Drosophila melanogaster: one gene and its partners. The protein of the gene in region 3 interacts with the protein of the main gene of each other region in a pairwise test. Each region holds a gene or a part of one and is shown on either strand. Other genes may lie near its edges.

What was found.
Region 1: the proteins of CG10565 (region 3) and Jhbp7 interact in a two-hybrid assay, tested with the Drosophila melanogaster proteins (one large-scale study listed by BioGRID).
Region 2: the proteins of CG10565 (region 3) and CG15812 interact in a two-hybrid assay, tested with the Drosophila melanogaster proteins (one large-scale study listed by BioGRID).
Region 4: the proteins of CG10565 (region 3) and CG3491 interact in a two-hybrid assay, tested with the Drosophila melanogaster proteins (one large-scale study listed by BioGRID).

What each region holds. Positions count from the first base shown.
Region 1 is NT_033777.3:25,234,838-25,241,135, reverse strand, and holds Jhbp7 (juvenile hormone binding protein 7), read right to left. Parts: upstream 3,523-6,298; 5' UTR 3,424-3,522; coding exon 3,357-3,423; intron 3,300-3,356; coding exon 3,062-3,299; intron 2,937-3,061; coding exon 2,691-2,936; intron 2,636-2,690; coding exon 2,434-2,635; 3' UTR 2,241-2,433; downstream 1-2,240. Other genes in the region: to (takeout), read right to left, coding at 1-268, 323-462, 530-770, 886-946; Sil1 nucleotide exchange factor, read left to right, coding at 5,739-5,874, 5,938-6,298.
Region 2 is NT_037436.4:3,156,033-3,163,098, reverse strand, and holds CG15812 (uncharacterized protein), read right to left. Parts: upstream 3,109-7,066; 5' UTR 3,003-3,108; coding exon 3,000-3,002; intron 2,993-2,999; exon of another isoform or gene 2,929-2,992; coding exon 1,375-2,928; 3' UTR 1,080-1,374; downstream 1-1,079. Other genes in the region: rasp, read right to left, coding at 1-900; ND-30 (NADH dehydrogenase (ubiquinone) 30 kDa subunit), read left to right, coding at 3,627-3,690, 3,751-3,825, 3,884-4,542; BtbVII (BTB-protein-VII), read right to left, coding at 5,513-5,899, 5,958-7,066.
Region 3 is NT_037436.4:21,132,750-21,141,014, forward strand, and holds CG10565 (uncharacterized protein), read right to left. Parts: upstream 3,605-8,265; 5' UTR 3,129-3,604; coding exon 2,869-3,128; intron 2,761-2,868; coding exon 2,615-2,760; intron 2,157-2,614; coding exon 622-2,156; 3' UTR 501-621; downstream 1-500. Other genes in the region: ICA69 (islet cell autoantigen 69 kDa), read left to right, coding at 1-413; Ac78C (adenylyl cyclase 78C), read right to left, coding at 4,358-4,471, 4,609-4,754, 4,817-5,045, 5,105-5,508, 5,582-5,762, 5,904-5,999, 6,055-6,821, 6,918-7,072 and 3 more.
Region 4 is NT_033779.5:14,921,965-14,932,416, reverse strand, and holds CG3491 (uncharacterized protein), read right to left. Parts: upstream 7,828-10,452; 5' UTR 7,683-7,827; coding exon 3,998-7,682; intron 3,938-3,997; coding exon 2,758-3,937; intron 2,702-2,757; coding exon 2,161-2,701; 3' UTR 1,852-2,160; downstream 1-1,851. Other genes in the region: side-II (sidestep II), read left to right, coding at 9,338-9,468, 10,320-10,452.

The DNA of each region.
Region 1 (6,298 bases), on a different chromosome or scaffold from region 3:
GAGAACACACCTTTGACGACGCCCAGGTAAAGTTTGCCAAAGGATCGGTCGATTGCTTTGGCCGTCTCCTTGTAAATGGCCTCCGAGTTTTCGTTGAGGAAGACATTCATGTTGTCACCCAGCGCCTTGTCCCCATTGAACAGATTACTGAAATGGTAGTGGCTGGACTCCGGCTTCATCGTTATTTTCAGATCGGTAACGTCCAGGTAGGTCTCCCCATTCTTCACCAGCGGTTTGCCCGAGAAGCTGACGATTGCCCTGACGTTAACTGGACAGGATTTTTAGTTCCTCGAAATCTGAAAAATCAATTGGCATAGCTTACCCATTGTCATGTTACTCTGTCCAGTTCCGCTGATCGGTAGAATGAGTACCTTGCCCTGGATGTTATAGGGTCCAACGAGTGAGAAGGTTTTCGTGACAATTTTCACTTCGTGCTTGGCGGTGAGATCCCTTCCGAAACCCCTGCAAAGATCAAGGCAAGTTGAATCACATCCTTCTCATCCAAACAAAGTGTTGTTCCTGCACCCACTTTACTTTGACGATCCTTTGGTCCTTGATCCCATACAACAGATTGTCGGTGAAGGTTAGAGTTATGCCCACGGGACTGGAGCTCTCACCCTGGCTAATAACCATCCGATCCACCTTCAACGGATCCAGCTGCATCAGGTTCAGACCAGGATCCCCCTCCGCCGAGTTTTCGCTGAACAGGGTGTTGCACAGCTTCATGATACATTCGCCATCACCATACTTACAAGGTTTTGGATCTTCGGCTGTGAGGAACACAAAGGATTATTTTGGAACCGAAAAGTAGAGGTAGGTGTCTATCTAGGTTTCCCAGATTATTACTTCATTGGCAAGGTCTTGTTTTAAAGGACTTTCTCTTACGGAATTTGGCATCCACCGAGACCAAAAGGCACAAAACCACTGCGAATGCGATTGCGAACATGCTAACACGTCTATAACTTTAAGTTACTGAATACGAACGGGATTTTCGCCTAGTATTTATAGTGGTCCACTAAGTGCAACTCAAATAACGTCTAATGGCAACCTTTGATATAGCTCTTATCTGTGCCGTAACCGTCTGTCTGTCAATTCCAGAGCTCGTTTCAGAATCATCAACTAATAACGAATAGCAACTGAATCATCTGATGGTATTAGGTAAGAAAACGTTGTTCTAATTTCAATACAAGCCTTAGTTTATCACCTCATTTGGGTGCACTTTAGACAGCAAGTAGATCATGTAGCAAATCTTCTTATTCACCTTAATCTTCATCAATCAGTTACATCGAAAATCCGCTCAATGAATTTAAGTATCAGACAGATTATGTCCAATTAAAAGTCATGGTATTAAGTTCTCCCTTAACAAAGTTAACTGGCAAGTGTGCAACTCACAAAAGGGCCAGTTCCAAATATAGCCGAATTGAGATGCGAAAACAACGCAGTCATCGTGACCACCAGTTCTTTAGTTGGCTTTAGTTCTTGCGAATCGAAGTGAAGGGCAGTGGAGGAGTAGCGGTGGAGTAGTAGCTCGGAACAGGTCCTAGACTTTGGGTTAACTTAATGACCAAGTGTCCCGCTTTAAAGTCCAGCCCCCGTGGAGAACAAAAGCAACTTGTTTCGCTCGGAATCGCTGCAGTTGATTGCTCGCTCGTGGAAGATTTTCACTGACCCAAGGCCAACTGGGTGTCCGATTCCCTGGGATCGGGATGGCAGCTATACCGTTGGCTACTCTTGAACTTGGACAGTGAAATGAGTTCGCAATGAGTGACAGCACAGTTGTGTTCAGATTAATAGCACTGCCATTTAGTTAGTTCTTGATTCTAAGACAAGCAGATCTTAGTCATATATCATATCATCATATCATATACTAATTTTAGTGCACTTTGGGCTAAATTAGTTGCACAGGATGTAGGAGTAGTAGTAGGAGCATGCATCTTCGTCTTTTTTAAGACACAAAGTATTTGCTCATAATAATTAAGGTGTTTATTTCAATTTGTTGGATGTTTTAATACTTTAAGCGTATGTATAACTACGCTTTTATCCACAAGTATAGTCACCTTAGCAATAATGCCTTTGTCATGCAAATTTCGAATCAATCGTTCCATCACGTGAGCTGCCTGTTGATTGCTGATTGCTGGCCAAAAATGAAACAAAAAGTGTATGCGACACTTGTGCGGAAATAGTGAGATCCACGTTTTAGCTAACAATGGCCCCCCGCAGAAGCAGAACCAGTTTTTTTTCGAATGTTTTTGTTTATTCTACAAGTTAAAGCTTAGCTTAGCAGATACGATGATACGATGATGATGTGTCAATGGCCGGAATGCCGGAATGCAACGCCCCATGTGAGTGAGAATAGCTTGGATAGGTGAGGAAATACTCGTACACTTAGCCTAAAGTCCTAGGGCGCCTGATGGCGACTAGGACGACTAGTGCTCAGTTCTCGAGGAATAAATCCTCGTAGGCGAAGCGCTTGAAGAGCTGCGAGAGAACGCTCTTCATGATCTCGGCGATGGCCACATGAATGGAGGGATGCAGCTCGTTCCACACCTCCGTCCAGTTGTCGTTGAGGAACTGATTCAGATTGGTGCCCAATGCCTGGTCGCCATTAAAGAGGTTCTCCAGCCGAATGTTCATCCTGTGGGAACACAAATATGTTAGTATATCTCAGCTAAAATCCGAACTGCACCTACTTTTGTGGCTCCACCAGAACCTTGAGCTTATCCACGCTCAGGTAGGTGCGTCCATTGCGCTGCTGTGTGCCCGGCTTGAATTTCACCGAAAACTTGGGATTGTGCAACACGATCTCGGCATCGCCATCGCCACGAATCGGCAGGATCAGGATGCGTCCATCCGCCACGTACTTGCCCTTCAGCACGATCTTGGGAAAGGATCCGTACATCTCAAACTTGCTGGTTGCAGGATCAGCGCCAAAGCCACTGAAAAATACGATTATGATGGATAAGTGCAATCAACTTAATATATCTTCTTCTGTTAATAAACATGAGAACTTCTTCACTTTTGCTTAAGAAGGAAATCACTTTTCATTTCACTTGCTACTTACACGGCTCTGTCGAACTTCACACTGGACAGGCCCTCCACATTCACGTCCCTGAAGTTGAGCTTTAGATTCAGGGAGCCAGTGCGTCCGTCGGAGATGTCGAAGCGCTTGATCAGGAAGGGCTCCACCTGGGGGAATCCAGCGGACGGATAGCCGGTCCTCGCGTGCTGTCTGATCAGCATGTGCGACACGTTGATGATGCAGCTGGTGTCGCCCATGTGGCAGCGCGGCAGTTCGGGAGCTGCAAGGATAAGCTGGCGATTAGCGAAGCACTGGGATTGTTGGCCAAAGGACTCACGGAAATTCGAGGCACCGCTAACCAAGCAGCAGAAGAGGGCCACGCAGCCCAGCTGGAGCAGCATCATTCTGGATATGGATCTAGTTACGTACGAAATTCAAGCGCCCCGAAATTCAACCGCTCGACGATTTGGCGAATGCCCGACCAGGTTCAATGGCAAACTGTAAATCGGCTCTGGACAGACGGCGGCATTTATAAAATTTCTGATCGGCCAGAACGATGGAGCGGCAACAAATGTGGCCAACAACAACCAGTACACTTCATAGTTTATTCATTCCTGACTTGTCGCGTCTTGGCCCTTGTTTTTCTTGTTGTTGCTGCTGCTGCTGTTGTTGTTGTCTGTCTGATTGCTGGCTATTTTTATTTATATTTTTTTTTTATTTATTCGTATGTGTATATCTCTTTCGCTTCGTGTTATGGATTCTCCTCATCATCATAGACATCGCAGTCTTTATCTTTATCGCAGCTACCCCTAACCAGAATTGGCAGCAGCATTATTATTAATTAATATTATTAGCATGCAGCAACAAATAACAATAAACAATAACAATGGCAACGCGCACAAAAGGCAGCGAAACTCAAAATTTTAATGCTCAATCCAGTCAGTTTTCAAGCAATTAACCAATATATTTCCACTTATCCTGCAATGCATTATATATATATATAATTTAATTATACATATATAATTTGCACTATATTTCGGCATCTTGTGTACTTTTTATAGATTCAAACTCCGTGAAATGGAATCCGCGCTTTGTTCACACTTTTAATAAAGTGCAAATATCAATTCGTACTTATTGGCTTATGATATTATTCATCCCATATTTGCTTTGAGATCAGCACTTGGAATTGGGAACCTACCTCTGGGGGAATTCCTAAGTGTGCTAAATGGCCAGGCAATCTGAAAGGGAATGATAATGAATAGGTCATGGTTAAGGATCCACGATAAAAATCACTTAAGTTATGAAATTGTATTCCGACCAGAAGGAAGAATGCATCCCAAGGCTCCCAACTATGAAATTTCCGTTTTGGACATATGTACGAAGATAAATCTTTTTGTGGCCAACACAACTCAATTCCGACATAAACCAATTAGACATAGTCGGGCATTTTGGACGACATCAAACAGGTTCCAACGGCATCGATAATCGATAATGGATGGATCGACGGATAAAAGTTGCTCGGCGAGGTGGCTTCACTTTCAAAACTATTGGACAGGCGACGTTCGGAACGGGCCGAGTGAATTTAATTTGGCAAATTCTAGTTAAAGGCTCCTGGCGTTCGTCATCAGCAATTAGCATATACTACATATATACATATGTATATGTATATTTGGTGTGTGATTGGCATGAAACCGGCATTCTGTTTATTTACCCATCCAATTGGCGCCAGGTGAGTCCAAATATTTCACTTTTGTCCACTTTGATGTGTTTGCGCAGCCAATTCCTAGACGCTGTCGTAGACATCGAGATTACAACGGATTTTCGGGGGCGAAATATGGTAATATATGCAAACACGCTTTTATTTTATTACGTCGGGCTTGCCTGCAAATAATTTGGCATTTCAATTTTGAGTTGGTTGATTCATCTGCGCGTAAACATGATTTCGTTTTTCTTTGTAAACTCAGTAAATACGTTTAGTTTATAACTAGTTTAGCTACGTTGTAACGAAGTGGAAAGCTTATGAATGGCGGTTACTTTTCAATTTTTAATGAATTCACGATGAGTTTGGGAATTTTTGGTGGCATTCTGGTTTGATGTGGTTTAATCGTTCTGAATGGCATTAACTTTTTCTGGTTCTTAAATATTAATTTCAAGTCTGGAAATTTCTAGCAATGCTTGTTTTTCACAACAAACTAAGGTTTAAAAATATTAATATTTGTGTTCGTTAGGGATAAAAATTAATTTGTTAGCGAAATAATGTTTGAAATCATTTAAAGTTTCCAACTATTCCGGACTAAGAGCAAAAATTAACCATAAAAATTTTTACTTAATTTTTGTATTACTTATTTATATAAGATTTGGCTTGGAATGTCCAACAGCACAATCTAATAAATATAAAGAAAGATTATAAAGCATACATATAGTTTACACTTTTTCAATACTTTAATATATTCTATTGTTTATAACGAATTTATTGATTACAAATATTTTCAAATTTGAAATTGAATTGTAACCGCCTTTGACTGGTTCCGAATCGACTGGCTCTCCACGGAACATATCGCCACATGCGGTATAATCAATGCAGCTCCCTACGGTCATACTATTAACCACATCCACATCAGAAGTCTGAAATCTGATTTAAAAACTCTCACGAAACTTACTTAAAACCAGGTGAAATAAAGACTGAATACATTCTGGAGGCAAGACAAGCTGAAGCAGTATGAGTGGCAAGCAGGTAGTCATCCTTCTGGGCAGTGTCCTGATCCTGGGATGCTTACAAGTGGCAGCGGCAACGGAAACGGATAACAAAACCAACGATTTCGTGGCCACCGACGAATGGCAGACGATTGCGGAAGGTTAATGGCTAGCCAGGCTAACTCTCGGATGACGTGTACTAAGTGAGCACTCTATATTTCCAGGTCAAGCTATTCCAAGGGGCCTGCACGTGCGCATCAACCTACAAACGGGGCTCAAGGAAGCCAAACTCTTAGACGAAAGCGAACGTGGCACGTCGCTGCAGAGTCAACCGGATGATCAGAATGCTCGGGAATCTCACGATGACAACGAACCCCTGGCTCTGGACTATAAACCGGACATAATCGAGGAGTCTATACGGCGGGTCAAGGAGCAGAAGAAGAGCTATGCCGAGCTACGCAAAGCGTACAAAGAGTTCCAGAAGAACTTTCGCACCGACGGAGAACTGATCGTCCAGTTAATCGATCAGTTTCGGAACTTCAGCAGAACGCCGCTAGAGTCAGAGATGCGCTCCAAGCTGGACTG
Region 2 (7,066 bases), about 18 Mb from region 3:
CAGGAAAAAGAACTGGCCCATGAAATAGCCGGCGGAGTGCTGCCAAAACACCGAGTCCATCATCTCCACCATTCGCACATCCCGCGACATGTAGTGTATATAGAAATAGTGGAGGGCGCACTGCATCACCAACCACCATATGGCGCTGCGCAGGACTCCTCCGACGAATCCCAGCCAGTTTTGCACTTCATCCTCCCTCCGGGCTGCGAACCTCTGGTAGCTAATGATCGGCCCATAGGTCAGACAGGGAAAGTACATGGCGTAGCCCAGATACTGGACGAGGCTGTATCTCGTAAGATCCTCCTGCTTAGCTCCAATCTTGGACAGGGAATAACTGCATCCGCGAAGCACACTCCAGGACATTGTGACAATCACCAGGACGTATTCCGTGTAACCAACGCGATCTGTCCACCAGACATTCTTTTGCATCACATTGATGCACAGTATCCAGCCAGCGGACAAAAGCCACACGAGAAATTTTAGTGAGAGCAGGGAAACGATGTAGTAGCTGGCTATCAATGTGACTAGTAGTACCATCGATGACCAGTCCAGGTTTACACTAAGAGCCAAGGCACAGACGCCGATGAATCCCAGACACTGAAGGCGGGGACGTTTCCAGCGTATGAATCCTTGGACAGCCACGTGCAGCAAGTAAAAGGGCCAAAAGCTGACGATAAAGTCTCCAAAGTTCTCCAGCTCATCGTTGCTGTCATCCCGACGCCGCTGGGAAAAAGGATACAAACTCCAGCCCTCCGGAAACTGGAACTTTGCCTCCTTGACTATGTGATCCCGCAGCCCATAGATCTTGTACAGGCCCACAACTATATACGCTATATAGACCCCGAAGTAGACGAAAATTTCGCAGCGGGTGAGCAGGGATCGGTCTGGTAACCTTGACATCACTACACCACCGATTTGGACTCTTCATTCCGGGAAAAGATTGCGATAGGGATGTGAAAAACCAGCGAAAATATCGATATTTTTATACCCTTGCTGGAGAAGAGTACCGGCATTTTAATTACATGCATGTACATATTTCTCTCATGTTATAAATTTGACCCATTTAAAAAGAAGTTTTTGTTAATTTTTGGTTGTATTTAATTAACCAATTACGATGGAGTGAACAATAAAAGAGCAGCAGTTAAAATGGTAATGGTATCTACATATAGAACTAAGTCTACAAAACTACCTCTAGAATAGCATCTCTTGCTGCTCTTCCGGACTCAATTTTGGTTTCATCAGGAGATAGGATATGGTTGATGTACATACACTGATGGGACAACATGAAGTTAAACCCTATGCTTATGGCTTCTTAATGGTAACTTATTGATTCCAGCTGAACGTTTGTAAAACCAGAACTCCGAAGGCTTATTTCTAGTTTAGCATATCGTCTCCGTAATTGGCCTTCAATTCCTTCTTGACCTTTTTATTCTGGCTCGTCGTGCGTCGCTGCAGGTGTCTCCAGAGCGTGCTCTTGGGGATCTCGAAGAGGTTGGCCGCGTGGTTTTGGGACATTCCCTCATTCAGGCAGGCATGCACCGCCTTGGCTAATTTGTCGCGCAGCTCATCCTTGGGCGTATTGTCGCGCTTTCGGCAGGACACGAAGTTGGGCAGGCGTCCCTGGGCGGACAGACGAACCTTGTGTCTGTGCAACGTGGACATGGGGATTTGCAACTCACTGCTGATGCTCTTTAAAGAATGTCCATTCTTCAGTCGCTCGTAGGCCTCTTGCAGGGATGGTCGTTCCCGATTGTTTCGCATGTAGGCGGGATTAGTGCGCACGCGTCTCCAGAGGACTGTCTTGGAGATATCAAACCGGTCGGCGGCCTTTTGTAGGCTTAAGCCCTCGATGATAACCGCGTCGGCCGCCAGATCCAAAGCATCGTTGATATCGTCTTTTACCTCACGTTTCAGAGCTGCGAACTGCTGGATTCGCGTTGGCTTGCAATCGGACAATCGTTTGACAGCCTTCGCACTTATGGGGCGACGGATTCGCGTCTTTCCCCCGCCCAACTTGCGGGGCTTATCGTCTATTTCCTCGTCCACAAGTTGGTCGTGCACGTCGTCATCGTCGTCCATTTCAGTACCAGCTTCTAGTTCCATAAGAGGATCGGCTTGCGCGAACTCCTCGTCGATCATTTGTGATTCGTGCTCCTCAGAATCCTCAGCAAGGTCCGCATCCACGTCATCATCGCCCAGGTCCACTTCAGCGCCACTGGTACCCGTTTCATCTGCCTCAATTTTGGACAAACTCGATGCTGACTGCGTTATGGTGAAAGTGCCCGTGTTCTCGGTGAGTATAAATTGGTTGCCGCTGGAACTTCCGTCCATGTGCTCGATGGAGTAGGTGATCTTCGGCGGCTCGTAGACATCAATGTACTCCAATGACCGACTGGAATGGCTGGGCTGGTGTTGAGAACCCGCGAGTGTAGTGGCTGGGACGGAGACCATCGGATGTGGCTCTTCCTCGTCGTCCAGCAGCTCGGCCTCAGCGATTTGGAGTCCTGTAATGGACTTGGCCGACTCCACGGCTAACGAATGGTTCTCTACATCGACACTGGGTGGACTAGCCGATGGATTGCACTCAAAGCTGATGGCAGATTTGATGCCGAGGAGGTTAATGGCCTCCAGGAACTCGGGGAGCGACGCGGAGGGCAGGCTAGTCTCGCCCATGTAAATGAAGGACAGCATGCACTCCAGCAAATCTCCGCGGATGTCGGGCAGCATTATGGTTGCCTCCTGGCCGCGCGGAACGTCCACCAGGAGGTTGCGCATCAGTTCGCTGCAAGTGCTTAGCACGAATAGATGGGCGCGCACTCGAACGCCGTCCCTGGAGGCCAGCACCACCTCGCAGTGCTGATTATCATTACGCAGCGAGCGCTGGATGTCCATTATCGTGGATGAGTGGCCCATCCACTTAAGATGATTCTGCAAACGGCGACGATTGTAGATTTAAATTTCACTTATCCCGGGGATTTGGGAGGACGCGTTTCACTTACCATCTTGTTGTGTTTTGATTTCCAATTGATTTCCAAGAAGTTTTCAATTCTCGCAATTCCAAACGCAACGCGTTGTCACAGTTTTCAGCCAGGGTAGTCGAATGCACCTAAGATCTCGGTATTTCGGTATGTTTTCCATGAGATGTACTTCAAGGAACGTGTTGGTATTTTTAATGAAATAATAAATGAAGTAGTAGGGTACATTTCTTTTTTTTAAAAATCATTTAACCAAATATTCTAGAAAAGTTTTGTGGTTGGTAATGAAGAATAATTGTAAATGTTTTCCATCTGCTGTACTTCAAGGAACGTGTTGGTATTTTTAATTAAATAATAAATCAAGTAGTAGGGTATATTTATTTTTTATATAAATCATTTAAGCAAATATTCCAAAAAAATGTTGAGGTTTTTAATGAAGAATAATTCGGTGTTAACGTACACGAAATACAATAATGTATGTGCGGTATTTGTGTTGTACCGAAATTGTCAAAATACCGAAGTAGGGCTGTCGAGTAGATTAATTTGGCGCACTGACAACCCTAGGCTCCAACAACTATATTGACATTTTAGCATTACATAAATTGTCAAAAACGGAGCAAATTGTTGAATTTATATTGAACAGTTTGTAGAATGGCGGCCTTAATCAGGAATCTGGGTGCCCGTGCCGCAGTCGCCGCTCTGTCGGCCAAACATGGTTGGTAAATGCCTTGCCTCTAGAGCTTCAACTGATCTATTCTAACCCTTCAACAATCAGTGGTGCCCGCTGCTGGATCCACTGCTCTTCGGATGGCCAGTACAACGCCAGTGGAGCCTAAGAAGGCGGATAAGCGTAGGTAAAAGTCGACTTTATCGCGGTGTCAATTACATGTAAGACATTCCACCCACAGCCACTGTCCGCCAGCCGGACGCAGTCGCTCGCTCGCATCTCTCCGATTTCGGGCGCTATGTGGCCGAGTGCCTGCCCAAGTACGTGCAGAAGGTGCAGCTGACCGCCGGCGATGAGCTGGAGGTGCTTATTGCGCCAGAGGGCGTGGTGCCCGTGCTGCAGTTCCTTAAGGATCATCATCAGGCGCAGTTTACCAACCTGGTTGACATTGCCGGCGTGGATGTGCCCTGTCGCAAGAACCGATTCGAGGTGGTCTACAATTTGCTCTCGCTGCGCTACAATTCGCGCATCCGCGTTAAGACCTACACCGATGAGCTGACTCCTCTGGACTCCGCCTGCGAGGTGCATAAGGCGGCCAACTGGTACGAACGTGAGATCTGGGACATGTACGGCGTGTTCTTTGCCAACCATCCCGACTTGCGCCGCATCCTGACCGATTACGGTTTTGAGGGACATCCCCAGCGCCGCGACTTCCCGCTGTCCGGCTACGTAGAGCTGCGCTACGATGATGAGAAGAAGCGAGTCGTCTGCGAGCCCTTGGAGTTGGCCCAGGAGTTCAGGAAGTTTGACTTGTCGGCGCCTTGGGAACAGTTCCCCAACTTCCGCAACGCTAATCCCCCCGCCGAGGTAGTTCCGCCACAGGCTCCAGCCAAGAAGTAATCCGAAGTCGGTTTGTTAAATGGTAATTAGATCAATAAAACGTGATCACTATGAGATGTTTAAACATAATGGAAACGACGGTCTACTTAGCTATTTAGCTTTCTTGGCTCGTTCCTAAACTACTTCCACATGAAAACGCAATTCGTATCAAACCAGAGGGTCACAAGTATTTATTGATTTCCGTATTGTTTACATACATGGTAGTTTACACTGAGAATTAAACGAATTCGCCGGATCTAGCACATCCGAAAACCTCCTCGAGGGCCATGTGCATATACGTACATACATACATAGATATAAAACGTTAAGTAAAACAAGTGTGGGCCACTAGACAATTCGTGCGCCTGCGCAGCGGTGCCCGGCGAAAGTACAGGTGCAAGGACGTACTTAAGTTTAGGCCGGAGCGGATTGGGGTAGTGGTAGTGATAGTTGTACTTGGTGAAAACCTTATCGTAATTCGAGCTTCGAGCTGCACCGTCGTCAACGTTTTATTTTTGTTAGATTTTAGTTCGGTTTTTTTTTTGTACAAGAACATACACATATAGTACATAGATACACACACATAAACATATTATTACATTTAGCGATTTAAAAAAGTTTTCACCCCGCATTCCGACGGTGTTCCAAAAGATTTTCGTTACTTTACAATGGCAGCGTGCATCTGGGCACGGCTCAAAAAACAATTCTCTGGCGCCACCTGGCGCCCTCTCTCGCAGTCCATGTGCCCGGACTCCGGGCCGGATGCACAGTGGGACTGGGACAACAAATGAAAATTTGGGTGCAGTTCGTGAGCGCGCGTTTTTCGCGCTTCCTGCTGACAAAAAAACAAATTCGACAGACGGCCATGTGTGGACCATGTTCCAGAATGAAGGACGAGCAATGCGTGGCTTCTAGTCTGATGGAGGTCAACCTTTCGGCGGCCGTCCTGTCACAAATACAAATATGCGGGCTTGGTCACGGCAGCTCCAGATTATATCGATTCCGTCTTGGTATAATGACGAGCTGCACCCGCTCCACTGCTGCTACTGCCGGCAGAGGAGACGTACGGCGATGCCTTGCCACTGCTGCTGCTCCCCGATCCCGTCGTGCTGCTGCTCAGCTGATTATCGCCCGCTGCCGCTCCACTGGATGCAGCGGCCGCCTCGTTGTTCAGCCGCTCGTGATACTCCTGGAAACAGGGCACAATGCACAAATTCGTCTGGCACTCCGGGCAATGGTATTTCGTTTTGCGGCGCAAAATGCGTCCATGCCCGTCGATGGTGTTCCAACAGAAGTTGCAGCCCAGCGCCGGACCCGGTCGAATGACCGGACAATGACTAGAACGCGGATTCTCGAGAGTGATGATCTCCCGTTGGGTCTGCAACAAAGGTAAGTCAGTGTGAGTGATCTTTCGGTCGGGTACACATCCAACTCACCTGAGGTGAAGACACCGATCGCTGCAGTTCCTCGTTCTTGACACGCAGCGTGGGCAAATGCTCAAACGAACTGCTCATGGTGGCCTGGCCGGGATGCAGATGGGTGCCAGTGATGGAGCCCGAGGCAGACTTGGAAGTCCGCAGCCTCGAACCGCCTCCGTTGGCGGCCTCTGCTGGATTCTTCCCCGCCCGCTCCACGACTTGCGATCTGCTGATGGAGGGAGAGTGCGGAGACCTTCGCTCGTGTGCCACATCAGATCCAATGGAGAAAGTGGGCGACAACGGATGCCTACTGGCGCTGTTCTGTAGCCCCGCATTGGGTGAGGTAACCACAGACACGGCCGCCGACACTGTCGACGAGGAGCCGGGACTGGCATTAGTGGGCGTTGCCGCCGTTTCACTAGAAACCACTGGACAGGCCACTACGCGCGTGGGCACCAGGTATTGCGAGGAGCCGGCCGGCGGCGGAGACCCCGAGGCGTAGATGGACTCGGGCAGTGAGATGTGGTGCGGATGGTGAAGCGGCGCCGGAGTGACATAGCTGGCATTTGAACCCGACAACGGATGCGAGTATTGGCGGTGCAGCGGGGCAAACGGATTGCTGCCAGTTGCCATCGCGGAACTGGATCCAGAACCGGATCCGGCCATGTGCAGTGCGGACTGGCGAGGCAGCAACGGATCCGAGTGCTGCTTGATGAGATAGGGAGTGCTGGACGGCACGCTGAGCAGGTGCGGCGTGGAGGGGGCCAAACTGGGTGCCGGTTCAGAGGCATGGCGCTCGATCCGCGGTGGAACGGTTAGCAGGTGATGATGGTGGTGCACAGCTGACTGATGGTGCAGATGATGCGAGCCCGTCGTAGAGTAATCTCTGGCCGTGGCACTCGTGGCGCCCGCAGCATTGAATGGATCAAAGTCGAGCGTCGTGGCAGCCGTATCCGGGGATATCTGATTCGTGGACGAGATGCTGTCACTGTCCCGCTTCACCCTCGGCTGACGGGTGAGCACCCGGTTGCGCTTGGTGCCCATCACCGCTGGCGAACTGGGCGTACCATCTGGATCACATTCGACGGATCCGACGCCTCCGATGCTGAAGGAGCGCTCGAAGCTTC
Region 3 (8,265 bases):
ACGAGTACCAGGACAAGCTGGAAACCCAGCCGGAAATCAAGGAGTCCGAAGAGGACAAACCAAGTGCACCTCCCAATGCCTGCGGCGACAATGAATCCTTGCTTATTGAGCTTTCCAAGCAGCTGGAGGACAGTCCTCTAATAGATGCGCCGCTGGATGAAGATATACCTGCCCAAAATAGCACTAACAAGCTATGGTCCCGCTTGTTTAGCCAGCAGAATCAGCAACCCATACCGAGCCAAGTAGCCACGGACTCGAAGGCAAGTGCAGGTGGCGCCACCCCGGTTCCCAGCAAATCGCAGACCACCAACAATCCCTGGCTGGATCTTTTCGCCGACTTGGATCCCTTAGCCAATCCGCAAGCCTTCGATTTAAAACTGAGCGGCGGACGCAGTGTGGCCGAGCAGACCTGAGCAGATTACCCTCCCGCACAGATTATATTTGTTGATCTGCATATACCGTTGGAAACTAGCTAGTCAAAATGGAGAATCTTTGGATGTAACTTTTCGCTAAACGTTCAAAAACTTTTTATGTTTTATTTAAATAAAATTTATATGGGACACAGCAGCTAGAAGTGGATGAGGCGGACGAGAGGCAGGTAAAGTGGAGCAGGAGCCGCACTCATTTGACCGCCGCCTGTGCCTCCTTCTTGGAGTTAACCAGCTCGACCAGCTCTTTGACGCGACGTAAGCAGTCCTTTTTACTGCGATTCGGTATGCAGGCGGCGATGCAATCCCAGCGATCGGGTGTCGTCGTTGGATAGGTTTTAATGGCCTGTTCGAGCAGGGCTTGCTCCTCCTTGGTCCAGGTTTTGGAGGCAGCACCGCCGCCCGTAGACCCATTTGTGGCCGGAACTGGGGCTGGTGCAGCCGTGGGGTTTGCTGGAGCTGGAGCCGTGCCATTCTGCTTGGTTGACTGATTGTTCGCCTTATGATCTACACCGTTTTGTTTCAAGTTCTCCTTGCTCGCCTGGGCCGTCTCCTCGCCCAGGGTTATATCCTTACACGTCTGAACATCTTTCTTGGACTTCTCGAAACTGGCAAATGCCGCATCGTTGGCTTGAGTCTTCAGGGAGCTCTTCGAGTGATCTGTGTTCTGGAGCGCCTTGGCTTTGTTGAGCACATCCCTGGCATTGACCAGAACAGTGTTATCCGGGCTATGCTGGTTAATGAAAGTGGCTATGACATCCCAACGCTGTGCAGTGCCAGCGGGAAACAGATTAACCGCCTTGATAAGCAACTGCACGTTCTCATTGCTCCAGAGCTCATTCTTCTTGACCTCCTTAACGCCTTTTGGCGTGGCCGCTGAGCTGGCAAGCTTCTTGGCCTGTGTCTGGTTAATCTCCTCCAACTCGGCAGCTATCTTCTGCTCGGCCGTTTGAAGGGCAGCAACAAACGACTCACGGCCCTTGCTTTCCATTGCCTTATTTAGAGCTTGCAGCTCTGCCAGATTGAAGGTCTCGCAAATCTTCTCGGTGCCCTCCATGTGCTTCAGCTGATCCTTGTCGTTCTTGGCATAATACTTGCAGTCCTTGACCTTGTCGCGCAGCGTTTTGCGCTCCTTCTTAAGCAGCTTTTTCTGCTGCTCGCGTTCGATGCGGATCTGCTCGATGCGTTTCTGCTCGGCCTTTTCAGCCTTCTCCTTGGCCAAAGCCGCTTCACGGATGGCACGATCAGCTTCTGCCTTCTGGGCCTGGGCGGCGTCCATCTTGGCTCGCTTGGCAGCAGCCTTGCGATCCTTTTCCTCCTGCTTGAAGCGCTGAATGCGCTTATCATTGTTGTAGGCTAAATCGACGAGCGACCGGATACGAGACATTTCCTCCTTCTTGCGCTTGATTCGAGCCGCCCTGTTCTCCTTTTCGATCCAGCGACGTTCGTCGCGGTCCTGGCCCTTCTCCTTGTCCTCTTCGTCCAAGTAGCTGAATTCCCGCCATGACTTAAAATCGTACCAGAAGTTGTAGAAGCGCTCCACCTCTTCGCGTTTGGCGTCCACCTGCCCGAAGGAGGGAACATGCGGCTTTTCGCTCCAGCGCCCGTTAAGTGTGAAAAATTTGTTAAATACGCCAAAGTAGTCGTTATCGATGTCGTTCTGTGAGGGCAGCGAGTCGTCAAACTCGGGATCCACTGAGTCAAAGCTGCGGCGCGGCTTGGATGTGCCTGGAATACAAGATGGAGTATTAGATGGTTTAAGAGGAAATAGTTTAAAATCTTCCTGTCTATTTCGTACAATTGTTTACAATTATTCAAAGTGTTTAAAGCCAAAAAAATTCTGTTGTATAATAGTAAGTTATAATTTGGCATTTTGTTTAAAAGAATGTGAGAGCAAACAACTAGTCCTATTTTTAGATATGCAAAAATAAAGCTTCAAGTTCTGCGCGCTTAGACAAAGGCAACAGCACACCAATGAATTAGATCGAGTATAAATTAGTTTCAGATAATTTAAAATCTTAATTGATTATTATACTCAACAGGATTGTATGGTATCATAATTTTATATAGCTTAAGCAAATGCTCTGAAAATTAATATCAAAATATTCTTATCTGTCGATTTGCATGGGCAATGCGAAGTCCGAAGGACACCCAAGGATCAGCAAGGACATTTTCTTGACACCCACCCAGTATCTCGTAAGCTTTGGTTATGCATGTGAAGTAATCATCGTCCTGGATGACTTCCTCGCCCTTGGCTTTCCGCTTATCGGGATGGTGCAGCAGAACCATGCGCCTGTAAGCCCGTCGAACATCATCCTCGCTGGCCTCGTATCTAAAGGGTGATTTAGTCAGACAATACAGTATTAGTTGGGGAAGTCCCATTAAATATTGATAGAAACGAACACATGGGAAGAACACCACGTGCTGCCGTCGCACTAACCGGAGCTTGCCCAAGCCAAGAACGGCGTAATGATCCTGGTCCTTCCACTCCTTAGGATCCAGCGACTTTAGGTAGCTGATGTCCACCTCCTCGCCCACGCCCTCCAATTTCTCATCGCTTTCGCTGCGCTCCACGCCGCCGGGAGCTAGAAATTGGCGCCGTTGCGCAAAGTAAGCGAAGCCAACGCGCTCGATTTTACGGCGAACGACCTTGAGCGGCAGCTGCACCTCCACCGCCGTTGCTACCGTACCGCTCGTCATCTCTGGTCAGGTCCGCTGGTTAATGGGCATTCACCGCCACTCCTGTGGATTCACGTTACTCAAAATTTGGCGATCCGCTGCCTTCAAAACGTCGAAATCCAATTAATAATCACACTTTTCCGCAGCACCGCATGTGTTTCGACTAGTGGTGGTGAAACATCGATGCCATCATCGATTATGGCGCTGGTAAAATCGATTGGCTTCCTACTCTATATTTGATCGATAACAGCAAGCATGTATCGCTGGCACTTATTGGCAGTGCTGCCAGCTGCTATAGCTAAAATCGAATGGCAACTGTTGTATTGGTTTGGCGCCAAAGTGTGACCGTATCTCAACTAATGGTTATTTATGATTTATATATTTAGTTAACCGTCTTAACAAATTATTAATCCACGTTCATTACATAACAAATCCTACACTATTAAATACATTCCACATTCGAGTTTTTGTTATAATGGGCCACTAAAAAAAGAAAGTGTCATACAATAGTTAAGAAAACGACTGTTTATAATTCATTTGAATGATAACTTGACGTATATTCCAAAAACCATTAAGTTCTACCATTTGTTAGTTTTGCTTATCACATTTATTTATAACGAATTGTATAATTACAATTAAAGTGCTAAATAAGTGCTGGCTGTATAGTAATACACCTTTTATTTGCCAAAATCCATTTCACATTTCAGTAACACTTGACCTCATTACATTTAGATGGTCGTAAAATATTTTATACATAAGTATGCTTACTTTATTTACATTTCCGCTCTTTGATCAAAAGAAACGGTTTGTACAACTAATATTTGGTTTTCTAATTGATTACTGGCTGTTAAATTGACTATTAGTACTAGAAAACTAGTTGGTACACATTATGGTTGAATTGAACGAAGCTAGTAGGTTCATTGGCATTTCGTATGGTTGGCTTTTGTGGGAAGATCCAAATATCTTACTCTAAACAGATTTGAAACGCACACATATAAACGACAGTTCTTAAGTTTAACGACTAGAATTGTGCTGAGATAAATGTAATTCTTGCAACTTCAAGTATGGTGATTTAAAAATTCTACTAAGTAGCTTCAGTGTCGTTCTCCACCATTTCATTTCAGTGTTAAGCCAAACTTTGAAACATATGCCGGCGTAACTCCATTTGTATAAAATCGTTCCAAAAATAAATTCATCAGACACTCTATCGCCTTGAGATCGACTTAGACCCAGTGAGTGCGCGTACTCGGCTATAACGCATCGTTGTGGCTCTTCGATATCGTCGTCTCGATCTGGTCGATCCGTCGGAACGAGGGCATATAGCTAGAGCTGGCCTGCGTGACGATCGAGTTGTTGGAGGAACTCTAAAATATTGAATAGGAAAAATATATCATTATATAAGATAGGTTCTAGAAAATACTCTTTCTAATTAAACAGAATCATATGAACAACTTAAATACTATTTGATATATAATAATTTTTGAAACACTACGTATTGTACCTTTTTCTGTCGATATGAACGTCCCCGAACACGGGTTGTATTCCGGCGCACAGGATTGACCGTGGTGGACTTTTGGGATAACCGGACCGAGCTGAACGTGCTTCCCCGATGTCCTCGACGGATTTGCGGCGAAGGAGTGCCCGTGGCTTAAGCATTAGAATCAAATTAATGTTATAAGAATTTTAAGTTACCCGAAAGGAACACTTACGTGTTCCGGCAATGGCTGTGCTGCGTTTGCTAGCCTGAAGCATTCCGAAAACCACGGCACTGAAGGATCCATGATGGGAGGTCTGCCGCTGAAGATTCGGGGTTTGGGCCAGGGGAATCCCGGCTGGCATGCGAACCGGTGAGATCAGCTGGCTCTCCGATATTCCCTTGGGATGCACATAAAAGGTGGTCATCATGCCCTTGCCCTTCACAGCGATTTCACCACGTTTCTGTGGGATTTTGAAAAAACGTATAAGAATTCGGGATAGGTAACAAAAGACCCACTTACCACACACGTGTAACCCCTGGAGCAAAGCAATTCCGCCGTATTCTCCGGAACCTGAACTCGCCAGTTCTCGCCCGTGGAGTCCATTCGTGATGCCACATTGACCGTATTGCCCCAGATATCGTAGACCGGTTTCCTGGCTCCAATCACTCCACTTACCAAAGGACCACTGCAGATGCCCACACGCAGCTGGAAGTTATTGAAGGCATCCCCATTGATCTCCTCCAGCTTTTGCTTCATGGCAAATGCGAACTCCACCAGGTCGCAGACACTATCCTCGGAGGTCTCGCCGCGAAGTCTGAGATGCTCGTGATTTAATCCCGCTGCCGCCATATACGTGGCACCCACTGTTTTGATTTTCTCCACCGATGCGAATCGTGGCTCCTCCAGCAATTCATCAAAGTCACCTGGTTTGATTTGTGCCGTGCGGCATCATTAGACATTTGCAACCGGGAGACAATGCTTAATCAATCAACTCACAGATAATCTCATTGAGAATACGTATACAGGCCTTGCCATTGTCGATGTCCTCGGAGTAAAAGTCCTGGAAGTTCGGAATGGAGGCGAACATCACGCCGCAGAGATTGTGCATCTTGGAGTAGAGCTCGTCCGTGTGCTCGTCGGATAGGTAATAGGTGGCTACATGGTCCGGCAGAATGTTCTGCAATCAAATGGTTTAATTAATGAAAAATGCAGAGGAAGGAGCAGGTAGACCAAAATAGAATTGGGTTACATTTTCCCCTTCCTATTTCATGGTTATTATCCCCTTTTTTGGCCCTGTGTATTTGACCAAATATCTTACCTTAATTAATGTGTCATTAAGCGCGCGATTGGATTTCATGTTGGTCAGTTCACGCTCGGCTTGTTCCTTCCATATGAAGTCCAGACGCGAGGTTACCTGGGGAAATCGGAATGAGTGATGGGTCGAAAGCATTGGTCGCACCTTCTCTTACCTCCACCAATCTAGCATGGTAGCAGACCATCACCAGGAAGGATATTAGCAGTATCAGCATTTGGACTCCAAGCGGCATGCCCAGTCTGGAGAGCTCCACCAAACTGAAGCTATCGCCGGACCCGAACTTCATCATGATCAGCGTGGTGTAGAATGCCACCATGGCCAAGGCCATCAGGGCCTTGACCAGGTAGTACAGCTTCAATGCGGTGGCCAAGGACACCAGGCAGAGCACCCAGGTGAACACCAAGTACTCCGGATGGGCGCACTGCCCCTCAACATCCGAGGAACTTTGCATCACCGAAGCATCTGAATAGCTGAGGTTACTGAGAGAAACACTGTGTCCATTTGTGGTCAGTGTATAGGGCCGATGGGACTGCGGTAGTGGAGGAGTCAAATTCAAAGTGAGGGCGTTGAGCGTGCTCCTCACGAACTCGTCGGAGGGACCACTACTTGTAATATCCACCAGGGGAGTGGGCCCTCCACTGGCCGGAGTGCTAATTGTGATATTGTGATGGATGGTGGCAGACAGATAGACATTCAGCTTGAACTCCTTCTCCGTCATGGAGATGTTGCTGTATGGCGAAACCATTCGCAGGAATCGTGAGTGCTCGTCGGCGGTGCCTATGTAGGTGGAAGAAGGGCACAGGACCAGTCCTATGGCACTCAGCATGCACATGGACACGATGACGCCGCAAATGAATAGAGTGCGACGCTGCCGTTGGTGTACCAATTTCGCAGAGTTCGTCTTCAGGCAGCGGGGTAAACCTAGGGAGTAATGGTGGAGTATTTAGACCTGAGGTACTGAACTTGAGTAGTTTTATGTTTTTCATAATGCTTTGATTCAATTGTATTCATGCTCACCTGGAAACTCCTCGGCCATGACCAGGACGCAACAAAAAGTTAGAATTACCGTGCCCACGGAGAGACAAATAATGAGACGCGTGCAGCGTGGAATGATGATGACCTGGCACAGCACCATAAATATCCAGATGACAAACACACACAGCATATTGGATCTGAATGGAGTAGATGGGGTCGGTACAAAATGGCAGGGGGGGGGGGGGAGAAATCAATTAGCAATAGTTCATTAATTAAGAGAGTCCTGGCCTTTGTTGGTTTTCCATTAACAGGCCTGCACACGCACCGGAACATATCCTCCCGCAACTGACAGAACTTCTGCTCCTGGCTCTTGTCCTTGAACTTGAGGGTCCAGGGATTAAGGTACTCGCGTCGGATTTCCTTATTCGAATTGATTTGAATGTTCTGCTCGATGAACTCGTCGATCTGGATTTCGAGGAATCGGGTTGTATTGTAGAAGCGGGGGACTGCTAGTTGACTCCACTTACCTCCTCATCCAAAACCGCCACCGAGACTCTATGATCCTCCTTCGTATCAACCAGTATGGAGTCGGCACGATTTAATCCATCTTCGGGACTGTTAAGCTACGGTCGCCAAGATATTATATGTGAAATTTTTGTTTAAGCATTAAAGTAAGTGACCTTACGTTCTTGAACGGAATCTCGGGTATCCAGTCGGTGGTGGACTCATCCTCAATGATCAGACCCTTGCCGTCGATGGCCTCCGCCAGGTTTTGAATGCTGCAGGCTCCGTTCCTGGGTCGCAGCTGGACTTCCAGAGGAGCCGACATCATGGCGGTGGGAGAGGACACGGTGGACATGCCGCATGGGCCCGTTCCCCCACCTCCGGTGCCACCTGCTCCTCCCATTACGCCACAGCCGTTCCTAATCCTGCGGCTGTCCATGGCCACGCCCTCGACCACATTGGGCAGGGAGTTCAGGGATATGTTCTTCTTCTGTTGCTGCTGAAGAAGTTGCGTGGGCTGCTGGGCGGGCACAGCAATGGTGGCCGCGTACTCCAGACTCCGTCCGTCGATGCTGGCGCCATCGTTGCCTGTCGCGGTGACCCCGCCGATGCTTCCGCTTCCGCTGGCCGAGATTGATTTGGGCAGGGCGGTGGGCGTGGCGCAGGGGGGAGCAGCAGTGGCCACACTTCCCGCCAAATGGGCGCTGCTGCGCGTGCCAAAGCGCCGCTTGGGTCTGTTGAAGCAAGCGAAGGGTTAGCAATTGTCGGTTTGGTATTTGAATGCACTCGCAGAAAAGGTTGTGAAACATAAAATAAAGATATGAATAAAAATGTTTAATTTCTCTAATGAGATGCCTAACAATCGTACATATCCACTTATATACTT
Region 4 (10,452 bases), on a different chromosome or scaffold from region 3:
ACCAAAAGGGAAAAGAAAGAAAGCGGGGGGCAAGCAAAGGAATTGCCGACAGCTACCAAAAGGTAGACAGTCCTGGGCCTGGTTCAGAACCAGACCAGGCCGAAATTTATTACGGCGGCGATGTCGCCATCACCATCGCTGCCGTTGAAAGCCTTTAAAATGCAAATAAATCAAAGACAAATGACAAATTGTGAATAATTTGCCAAAGGGCCAAAACACTGTAGCGTTCGTGGTGGCCAGGAGGGGCTCCACAGGCACAAATGAAATATGTGGGCTAACAAAATGTATGGCAGTCGCTTAAATTAAATGAAGGACTTTAGCTGTGGCCCCGTTTCAATAAAAATAAATAAAAAATAACTTTGCAAAGTAGACCTAAAGTGTAGATCTGAAACTGAATCCGAAATGCTTTCGCCACGCACAGATTTTACCTGCAGAATGAACAAAATCTCCCAATAATTGTAATTTCCACTTTAAGCCACTTTAATTCGTATTCCACAGCACTGAAATAACCAACTGGGAAGTACTGCGGACATCGTAAAGTGTGAAACAAAAGTGCCGGATAGGGAAAATGAATCGAACTCAATGGCGTTCCGTATCCGCCATGTATGCCACAGTCAACATTTTTCGTACTCCGTTCTGTTCCCCATTTTATTTTTCCTGTTTCCAAGGGCATCACGTAATAGCGTTTCTTTGCTTTTCATTTCTTAAAATATGAATATTTTCTTTACTTCAATCTGAAAGAGGTTGCCACGCCTCCGCTGAACAGTTTCGCTTACGCCCAAAAGAAAAAAGTACGTTTGTGTGTTTTTGCGTTTGGCTGTGTGTATAGGCGTAATATGATTATATTTTTTATGCCCCACACATACTTTGCAGGCTCATATTTTATGTTTTAGAATATTATTTTTTATTTGTTTGTTTTTGCTCACGTTATAGCAATTGACGGTGCTTTGTACCGTCCTTACGGTGTTGTGTTTGTTGCTACGTTGGCGCAAATAAACTTTATGATCGGCACGTAGCCACATACACATAAATGTGCGCCCAAATGTTTGTGTTTTTAAAAAAATTCTTCTGTTGGGGCAGGCTTGCGAAGTTCTTTTAAACTTGCTTATTTATTTAAGACTTTGATGTCCTACAGAAAAGAAATCAAATTATGATCAGATTAGAGCTTACAATCATTCAAGACCAATAACATGGGTTTACTTAAAAAAAAAGGATTAGGAAAACTGAAATTTGCAAATATTGTTGGCTATAACTTCATTAGAGATCCTTACATACCCTTATGGCCAGATAAATAACAGTTTGTTCTTATTTAGATAACAACTGAATTTATATGCCTCGGCATCTTTATGTCTTTGTTGTTGTTGCCAGTGCTGTTGGAATACGATATCTGCATCACGCGTGAGTTATTATGCCAACTGCGTTTTGGCTCCTTAGGCACGACATTTGCCAAGGCCATTTGGTCATGGTTTATGCCACGCGTTGCCCATCTCATGCGCCACAATCCTTCCCTCCCCTTTGTATAATTTTGTTTATATCTCGCATGTGTGGCAGGGTGCAAGCGACTGGGTCGTTTTAAAATTTATAATGTAACCGAGCGGGGCAGCCTTAGTTGGTCTCCTAGCAATGGCAACAAGACAAAACATGGAATGCAATCACAGACATCCCCCAAAGAGCGCAGGATTGGAAAAGAAAGAGCACTGCGGTTAAATAAAGTAACAAGTTTCATTTCATTCATAATTATTAATTTAAATTAAATTTAAGCCATTCTACTGGCTGTGATTGACAACCCCTTCCAATTACCTTTGCAATTTACATAATACAATATATTAAAAAACAAGACGATTTTTTTTTGGGTAGCTTTATTTTTTTTTTAGTGTATGCGAAGCTCACTCCGCAGCGCAGCAGACAATACATATGAATCACATACGCACGCAGACGAGCTGTAAGTGTCTTCCCGTATGTGCTTCTGTGGCCATTGTTTATTGCCGGGAACATGGGCGTGCTGCTCCTCCTGGGTGGAGCTGGTGGAGCGTGCTTGGCATTTTGAAAAAGCGAAAGCTTACGCCACATGTATTGCATTGAATGCTACAATTTCGGTTGATATTTTTAAAGTGGCAATAGAAGTGCTGTGCGCTTCGCCGTACACTGGGCGGTGTCATTTTAATGGCTCTCCACGAGGGAATCCGTGGACAAATCGGCCACCAGGTCATCGTAGACGGCAGGCGGTACCACCGTACCCACTATCTTCTTGTTTGCATCGGTCTTCATGCGTATGATCTGGATCTTGTGTCCGCTATTTACGATAATGAGTTCGATCCGGTCCCAAATCGGTAGCATTAACCCGGAGAGCACGTGATAGGTACGCATTCGGAGTCCTACTTCACAGCCCGTCGGCATTGGACAGGTCCGATTCCAGTAGAGGTGTGAGCACATATTCAAGCACAATTCGTACTGCTGCACCCAGTATGTTTGGGCCTCCTCCGGGCTTACCTTCACATATCGTGATGAAATGGAGGCATGTGTCTCCAATCGCACTTGGGGACCTGTATTGGGTCGGTAGATTTGCAAATTGATCTTTCCGTTTGATACATCCGATGAATTGGACGGTGCCTGCAGGCATAAAATTGCGGAGTTCTTGTTTTGGCGCCGCTTTTGTAGAATATAGAAGCCTTCGTGCTCGTATTGGCCCTCCTTTCGGTATCTATGGGAGTTTATAAGTTAGTTAAATACACTTAACCCATATAAATTTCAACTCACTTGGCTAGGGCTGTCTCAAAGGACATACCACGTTCCACTGTCACCGTATGAAGTTCGGTGGCCGCCGTTCCTGTGGCGTGCTTCCTAATGAACCTCATCAGCTTGATGGATTTTACACTTGCTCCATGGGCATCCAGATCTAAAATCCCCAAATCGAAGCGTCCTGTGCGCTTCATTTGCATGATCAGTGAGTACATCTTGTCCAGAAAGAATTTAAAAAGTGCATTTTGCACTTCCACCCGGCATCCAAGGATGCGGTTTAGAAACTTTGAGATATTATTACTATCCTTCTCCACGGTGAACACCTTGACCTTGTTCTCCTCCCGCACATTGATCATACCCACGCCGGCCATTGCCACGCAACAATCGTATATGAAGTTTCCCTTATACGATTGAGGCACTTGAGACCGGTCCAGTGGTTTATTGCTGGTCAGCTGTTGCATCACATTCTCAAGGGCACTGCGCCCGATGCTATTATCGATATTGAACTGGGAGAGATCACGGGCATCGGTGGCACGACGATCGCCTTGGGTAAGGGCTCCTAAGCTCTCCAGTCTCTTGGCCACCGTGGATGCAAATCGACGCTCACCAGCCAGATCGGTGATCACAAATACATATTCCGGTGCATTGACCTGATTGGAGCGATGGGTGCGCCCAAATTGCTGTATGGCCCGATCTGCACTCCATGGGAGTTCCAAAGTGATGTGCAGACGGCGCCGCTGATTAGAAACCCTCTTGTCACTCTGTAAAGATATTCCACTGGAGGCCGCCTCCGAGATGATGGCCACGTGCTTGCTGCCATCCATGAAGCGTTGCTTCTCCCGATAATTGACCAGGTCCATAGTGGAGTCGTTTTCACAACGTGGCTCATACTTATACCCATCGTACTCCGTTCGCACCACTCTTCCACGACGGCCTGTCATCTCGGCCACCAAATTGGTGCCACCCAGTTCAGAGATTAGTTTGTCGAGCGTGTTGGGCGGCAACTTCCTGCCCAGAACATCGATTTTCTCCAGCAGCATCTCACGCATGTTTATACAGCGTTCTACATCACGCTCCGTGATGTTTACCTTTACCTTGGTATTGTCGGAAGTGTTTGTGGATTCATCTTCGTTATCCTGTTCCCTCATATTATTGCAAAGATGCTCCAGGATGCGCTCCTGCATGGTAATCTTCTCCACTGGTTAAGGGATTAAAATGATTAATATTTATTCAAAATAAACCACTTAGATCAACATACCTTTGTCCGCCTTGGGCGGTCGTCCTCGCCGCTTTTGTCCAGACTTAATCTTCTCAACAGCCGCAGTACAGCTTCTCTCGTACATCTCGATGTCGCTTTCGCCCGCCTCGGCATCCATATCATCTTCAACCCAATCGGTATTCATTTTTGACTTCTTCTGTTTGGGTGGGCGGGAACGTGCCTCCGGCTCAAACTCACCCGTATTTAGTAAATGATGAAACGAGTCGCGTTTAGGAGCTGGGAAGTGCTTTTCCACAAACGACTGAATGATCATCTTTGCGGTGGACACAAAGCTGTTAAGCTTTCCATGATGACGTTCTAGATGCTCCAGGGTACGCGACTCCCCAGTAGATTGAAGGCCAATGACCACCGCCTTTCCCATTCGTGTCGCCTGCCGCGTCATCTTGACCACGTGATTCACTTTGGAGGCAATGCACAGGTTCTTGAAGAAACGCTGATGGGCGCACCAGAACTGACAGGTTATAATCTTCTGCACCCTATTCTCGACGCACATTAGGCGACACGCCTTCTGGAACTTCTTGTGTATGTCAGCCCAGAGTTCGGCAGACAAATTATAGCTCTTGCGAAATTCCTTCGACATGTTCACCTCCTCGATGCGAAAACTCACATCCTTGAAGCTAAGTTGACGTGCTATGTAAGTACCTCTTAGCTTCATGTCCATGGCAACGATTTCCATGGCTCCTATGCCGCGCTTCTCCACGGCGTTAACAAATTCGTAGAATTCTGGATAGGCGGTACCTGGACCCCACAGGCCCAATCTCACCATATAGGCCATATTCCGGGGCTCACTTGCTCCCGTGGCTGAAGCATAGACCACTCTGGCGTTTGGCAACAGTTTCTGTAGATCCAGAACAGTCGTTCCCGTCTTGGTGGACTTACCCACATTCATCAGGCTTAGGTTCTTGGCCTTGTGGCACTCATCAAAGACGATCACTCCTTCGAACTTTTTGCCCAGCCAATTGGTCAACTGGCGAAAACGAGTCTTGTACTTCGAGTTGGTCGTCATTGATTCTCCAATTAAAGCTGTGTAAGTGCAAAATATCACGCCGCGCTTGAAATTTTCATTTTCTTCGGAATCAATGGGGCTGTATTTAAACTTGTTGATTGTCGCTACACGGATCTTTTCGTGGGCTCCTATATCGGCTAGATCCCGCTCTGCATCGAACTTGAGGTCACTGGAGACCGAGACCCAAAGGGCACGTTTCCGCCCTTTCAGGTAGTTATCGAAAATAATGCCGGCAATGGTGCGGCCTTTGCCCACACCAGCCCCATCGCCCAGCAGAAATCCAGCGCGATCTCCGCTTGGCAGGATCTGCTCGTGAGCCTGACAGGCATAGACCACTGCCTCCAGCTGCAGGGCACTCAAACATTCGGTGGTCTTCGAGGGCAGGGCCAACTGATAGTTTATATTGGGCAGCTCAACGGATGACAGAGTGGCCGTTTCCACCACGGGATCGGGATGGGCTCTTCCAAACTTCAGTTTGCTGGGCCAGTAAGCTGCAAAGGTGTCGGCCACCCCTATTTCCTCATAGTCAACCTCCTCATCTTCGACCGCTTGTTCAGATGGAAATCCTGCATCTTTGGTCTGTAACGTTTCCTGTAGCACGGCACCTGGAACTCCAGAGTTAGTCATGGGCAAGGACAGGTAGGGATGTCCACTTTGTAATAACATATTCAGTTGCTGGGCCGTAAAGCTTTCTAATTCGGTGGCCTTCACTGTTGGCTGACCCATTGCCATCGTTGATGGCAGCAATTGCACATTGGTAATTAGTCCATCCAGACCGGTGGTAAATTTGACGGATACATCCTCACCCTGATCAACCTTAAGTCGCGTGACTATCGGCACTTGTGGCAAGGCGTGATGCTGAGTTGAAGCAAGCGGATTATTAGCCATCTGAACAACGCTAGACATTCCTGTATCCATGGTTTTGTTGGCCATACAATAGGCTGGTGCTGGAGGAATGGCTGGTTGTGGAGGAATAGCTGGTTGTGGAGGAATGCATACCTGATTCGGTTTCGGAAAAGCTTTGTTCTCCGACAAGTTCTTGTTTGTAGGTACTGAAAAGTGTTGGTCAGTTTTACCTAATGGTTCTATATTCTCGTCAGCTGGTACCGCTACCATGGGTAGAGAATCCAGTTCCGCCTGGAGGCGTGCATCTATATCAGATTCTATTTTCTTGGGATCCGATAGCCGAGAATGTGGTCTTTCAACTGTCAGATTTGTTGGAATCTTTGCTAGTGGAGGTGGAGGTGGACATGCCAGCTCATCAGTCGTAAATAAAGAATCTAGATCAGCATTCAGGCGCCTATCAATATTGTCTTGCTCATCGTTACCATCATTGCTATTGCTATCGTGGTTAGGGCTACCGGCAGTAAAGCCAAGATCGATTAGATATTGAGAAACGTTAGAAACTTTATTAACCGTTGGCTTTTTAGCACCTTGATTACTTTCTTTTTTAGCTTCGGCCTGAGAGAGCATTTCTAAAAAACTTACAGTACGATCGGGCTTATTTTGTGCCGGGTTGTTCAGGTGATTATCTACATATTGATGTTCCTTTCTCATGTGCATTTCACGACGCCTATCTATTGTTTCTTCCTTCTGATGGGCATAGTTGATGGGCTGTTGAGAATCTGGCTTGTTAATCTGATTATACTCAGTCGAACGATAACGCGATTTTATATCTGAACTCGGCTTTTGTGTTATGTTAGCGTTTTCCGACACGACTAAATTCTGAGCCTGGCCGTACGTAGTACTGTACTCTAGTTTAGGTATTGAGTTGATTTGAGCTTTAGAACGTTTAGCCGGCGTGATATTTGTCCCTTCAGACTCCGAACGGTAACCTGAATAAAAATTCCTCTCAGACTGACGTTTTAAATATGTTTTCTCTTCGGCCTCTTCTAAATCGCTAGACTTTGAATCGAAATTCTTCTTCGGTATATTTTTTGGACTGCTCTCAGGCAACTTCGTAGTCCAGGCATTATTACGTTTTTGGCTTAAGTTTAAAGCTTGATTGTCCGAATGTGATGGTAACTCATCATAAACATTCAAAATCGATTCAATGGAGGAATTTAGTTTCTGACCTTTATATTGCTTTTCTTTATCCGTTGAAGTCCTCTGGTTATGTTTTTCCAAATTTATTTTGGAAGAAACTTCCGGTTTTTTAAAAATTGTATTTTGATCCGGTTCATCGAGATTTTCATTTTTTTGTGTACATCTGCGTCTTGATCTAGAACGGCTTTGCCGTGCAGGTGAATCCCTCTTTTGTTCATCGTCCGTATTTGACGTACTTCGCAAAAACGTTCGAAGTTGCTTGACATAATTATCTGAATCACTCGCTAACTCGTCCAAAAGTTGGGACTTGGAACCACTGACTGTCGCCTGCCGTTTTCTCTTTGTCTCCGAATCAAATTTCCCAGCGCTTTCTGTCATTAGCTGTGACTTTTGTCCTTTTTGCGAAACATTTTTGGAATTCAGATTGGTTTCACATTTCTTATTGCTGGTTGGATGTGAAACGTCGCGATTGATGGCCTCGCTTGATGCCTTCAATGTTGTCGCCCTGGAACGTGAATATGACCTTATTTTGGCGTGGACCTCTTGCTCCTCTTCGATCTCTCGAGCTCTGGCTGTTGGTCGGGCACTAGTTGTCCTTCTCTTACACGGCATTTTGCAGGATTCACAATCACAGATTTGGATAACTTGTTTTTTTTTTTTAGTTTGTAATTTTTTGTGATTTATAATTAAAACTGCCGACTTGTACTGGCGAAAGCAATCTCATCGACTGAGTAAAATTTTGCTATTTCGTGCGACTATAGTGTTTCCTAATTTCGCACAGCCTATTAAGTTGATTAAGAGGGCAGCTCAATGCCAGCTCGATAAATGCTGGCAACAAATTTATTTTTTTTAGGTTATAAAAGAGTTGCTTAGTATTTATTTTCAAATTTTAATACAAGTATTATTCAAAAAAATATGTGCATAATTGGATTGGCCCAAAAGAATGTGCTTATAATTTATGAGTGCTCAATTGATTGAATTGCTGCAACCAATTTAAATATGGTAGAAAAAGTTTCATGTCTTACGTTGCCAAAATATCTTTAATATTTGCAGCCCTGGCAAATCCCGTGTGTCAGTTGGCATAATACAACAGCCCACGGTGGCACATAAATTCTGAGCAACTTCCGCTCCGCCATCGATCGATGGTCGTTTTGGGCCAAAGAAACGAGTTTGTCGGGAGATTGCGGGGCAAGGGTATCCGTGGTGGAACGGTAAATGATAATCACAAAAATGGCCTGCAACATGTGTGCGGAAATGCGCGACGCGACTTTTCCAGCGAAAGAGTTTTCACAGCCCTTTGGGCACTTTGCCTGATTGGCAGACTCTGAGAAACGAGGGGCCTACACAAGTGGGCGGCGGTGAAATGCCACCCTTGCTGGGCAAAAGTTTTCCAGGCCATTCTAAAGTTTCCAGGCGAAGGCGGAAGGGAACTTTTTGGCTTTGGCTTGGTGTTTGGTTTTGGGTCTGGTCTTGGGTTCCGTTTTGCCCAACTCTTGACTGTCGACGTTTGGTTTTGGCCGCCAATAACTCAACAATATTAAGGTTGGCACGTGCGTCCCCTTTTTCCCGATCCTGCTCCTATTTCTTTCCCAGGTCCAGGTCCTCTTCGTGGTCTTGGTCTTGGTCCCGGTCCCAGTTCCAGTTCTGGTACTAGGTCTCCTTGTCTGGGTCCGGGTTCTTGCCGCTTTTGGTCTCTGTTTGTCGCAAAGTTTGTGGCTCGTTAAGCAAATTCAAACGACTTAAGCGGCAACACATGTTGGCAAACAGCGGTCGATGGGCGGGATGTCGTTGCCATGTCCTCATAACTCTTGGCTGATGCTTCACTTTGTTCCAGTTATTGCTCTAAATCGCTCATATTTGCAAAAACTATTAAATAAGCTTGATCATGACAGTGTGCGGGATTCTGGGCGATGACAAGACAGTTGCAAAGCTCGAAAAAGTATGGCACAACAACTTCGGGGCATGAATAATCGAAAAGATTTTGGTTGTAAGACATTGAGTTAATAGGCCTTTTACATTTTATTTCGGATTTTCTAAGGCTCATGACCTATGCAGGAAATAAATAGAAGTGCTCACAAAATGTTTCAAGGACGATTGCTACAACATGTCATTTATTTAAAAAAAGTGTGTGATAAAAAGTTTTTGTCTATACCTAAAAAGTATAGAAAGTGTATTCACGCGTTCGCAGTTAAGTTCTAGATTACCATTTCAGGTTATTATTGGATTTCCAGTGGCTAATTGTCTTCCTTCTTTGCTCCTCTTTGCAGATCCTCCCTTGGTGACGTTACGCTTGGGCTCAACTTTGACACCGGATGATATCAAGGAAGGCGACGATGTTTACTTCGAGTGTCACGTACAATCGAATCCTCAATGGCGGAAACTGTTGTGGTTGCATAATGTAGGTCGCAGTGTGTTCAAGTTGGCCAGGAGTGAGCCGGGCAGTCATACCGACCCAGGGACCCATCCATTCGGATCCGGCTCAATCCACAGCCACCGGGTGGCATCCCTGAAAGGCGTCTGCTTGGCTGGCTCCTTGCATTCGGTTCTGGTTAAGTGCCAATAACATGGCAGGTTGCGTATGCGTTGAGGTGGCTGCTCCTCCGTCAGTGGCGGCCGCCGACGATGTCCTGATGCATGGATCTGCATTTGCTCATTTCCATTCTAGTGGTTTCTTTGGCCCGGTATGGGTTGTGTGATGTATGTAGATGGGGTGGTGCCATTTTGGGTAAAATAGTTTTGGGATTTGCGGCATTGATTTTGCCGTCGCTCAACTGCAATCCGCAGTCGCTTGGCAATCACTCAGGCCAAGTTCCCATTCCACAGTCCGCAAACTACGGCCAACAACCCACTTCCTCTCCATTGGGAGGAAGTGTGTTTTGCACGAGTGTGTGGGGAATTTTTGCCTTTCGGACGCGCTTAGCGGATTTTGGCAAATTGAAATTCGAACCCGAGTGGCTTTAGAACGGATTATTGCTGGGCAGCACTATGGCTGAATAATCCATTGTTGTATTAGTTCAGTTTTGCTAATAGACTTATAGATTTCGGAGTTCTAACAACAGACTTATACGATATTGTTCAAAAGTGGTAATTACTTTGTTCTATCATTTTATCTAGGAAATACTATAGAAACCCAATTTAGAGACCATTTATAAGCATCGTAAAGTGTTTGAGAGACGCCATGTTATTGATTTAACCAATAAACTATCTCTTACAATTTTCGTTCATAATTATGTATCCATTTAATTTCAGGGTATTCATCTGGAGCACAATACATCCGCCCGCGTCATTCGCTCGAATCAGAGCCTGGTACTCCAGAAGATTACGAAACACTACGCCGGGAACTATGCGTGCAGTGCTATAAACGACGAGGGCGAGACGGTCA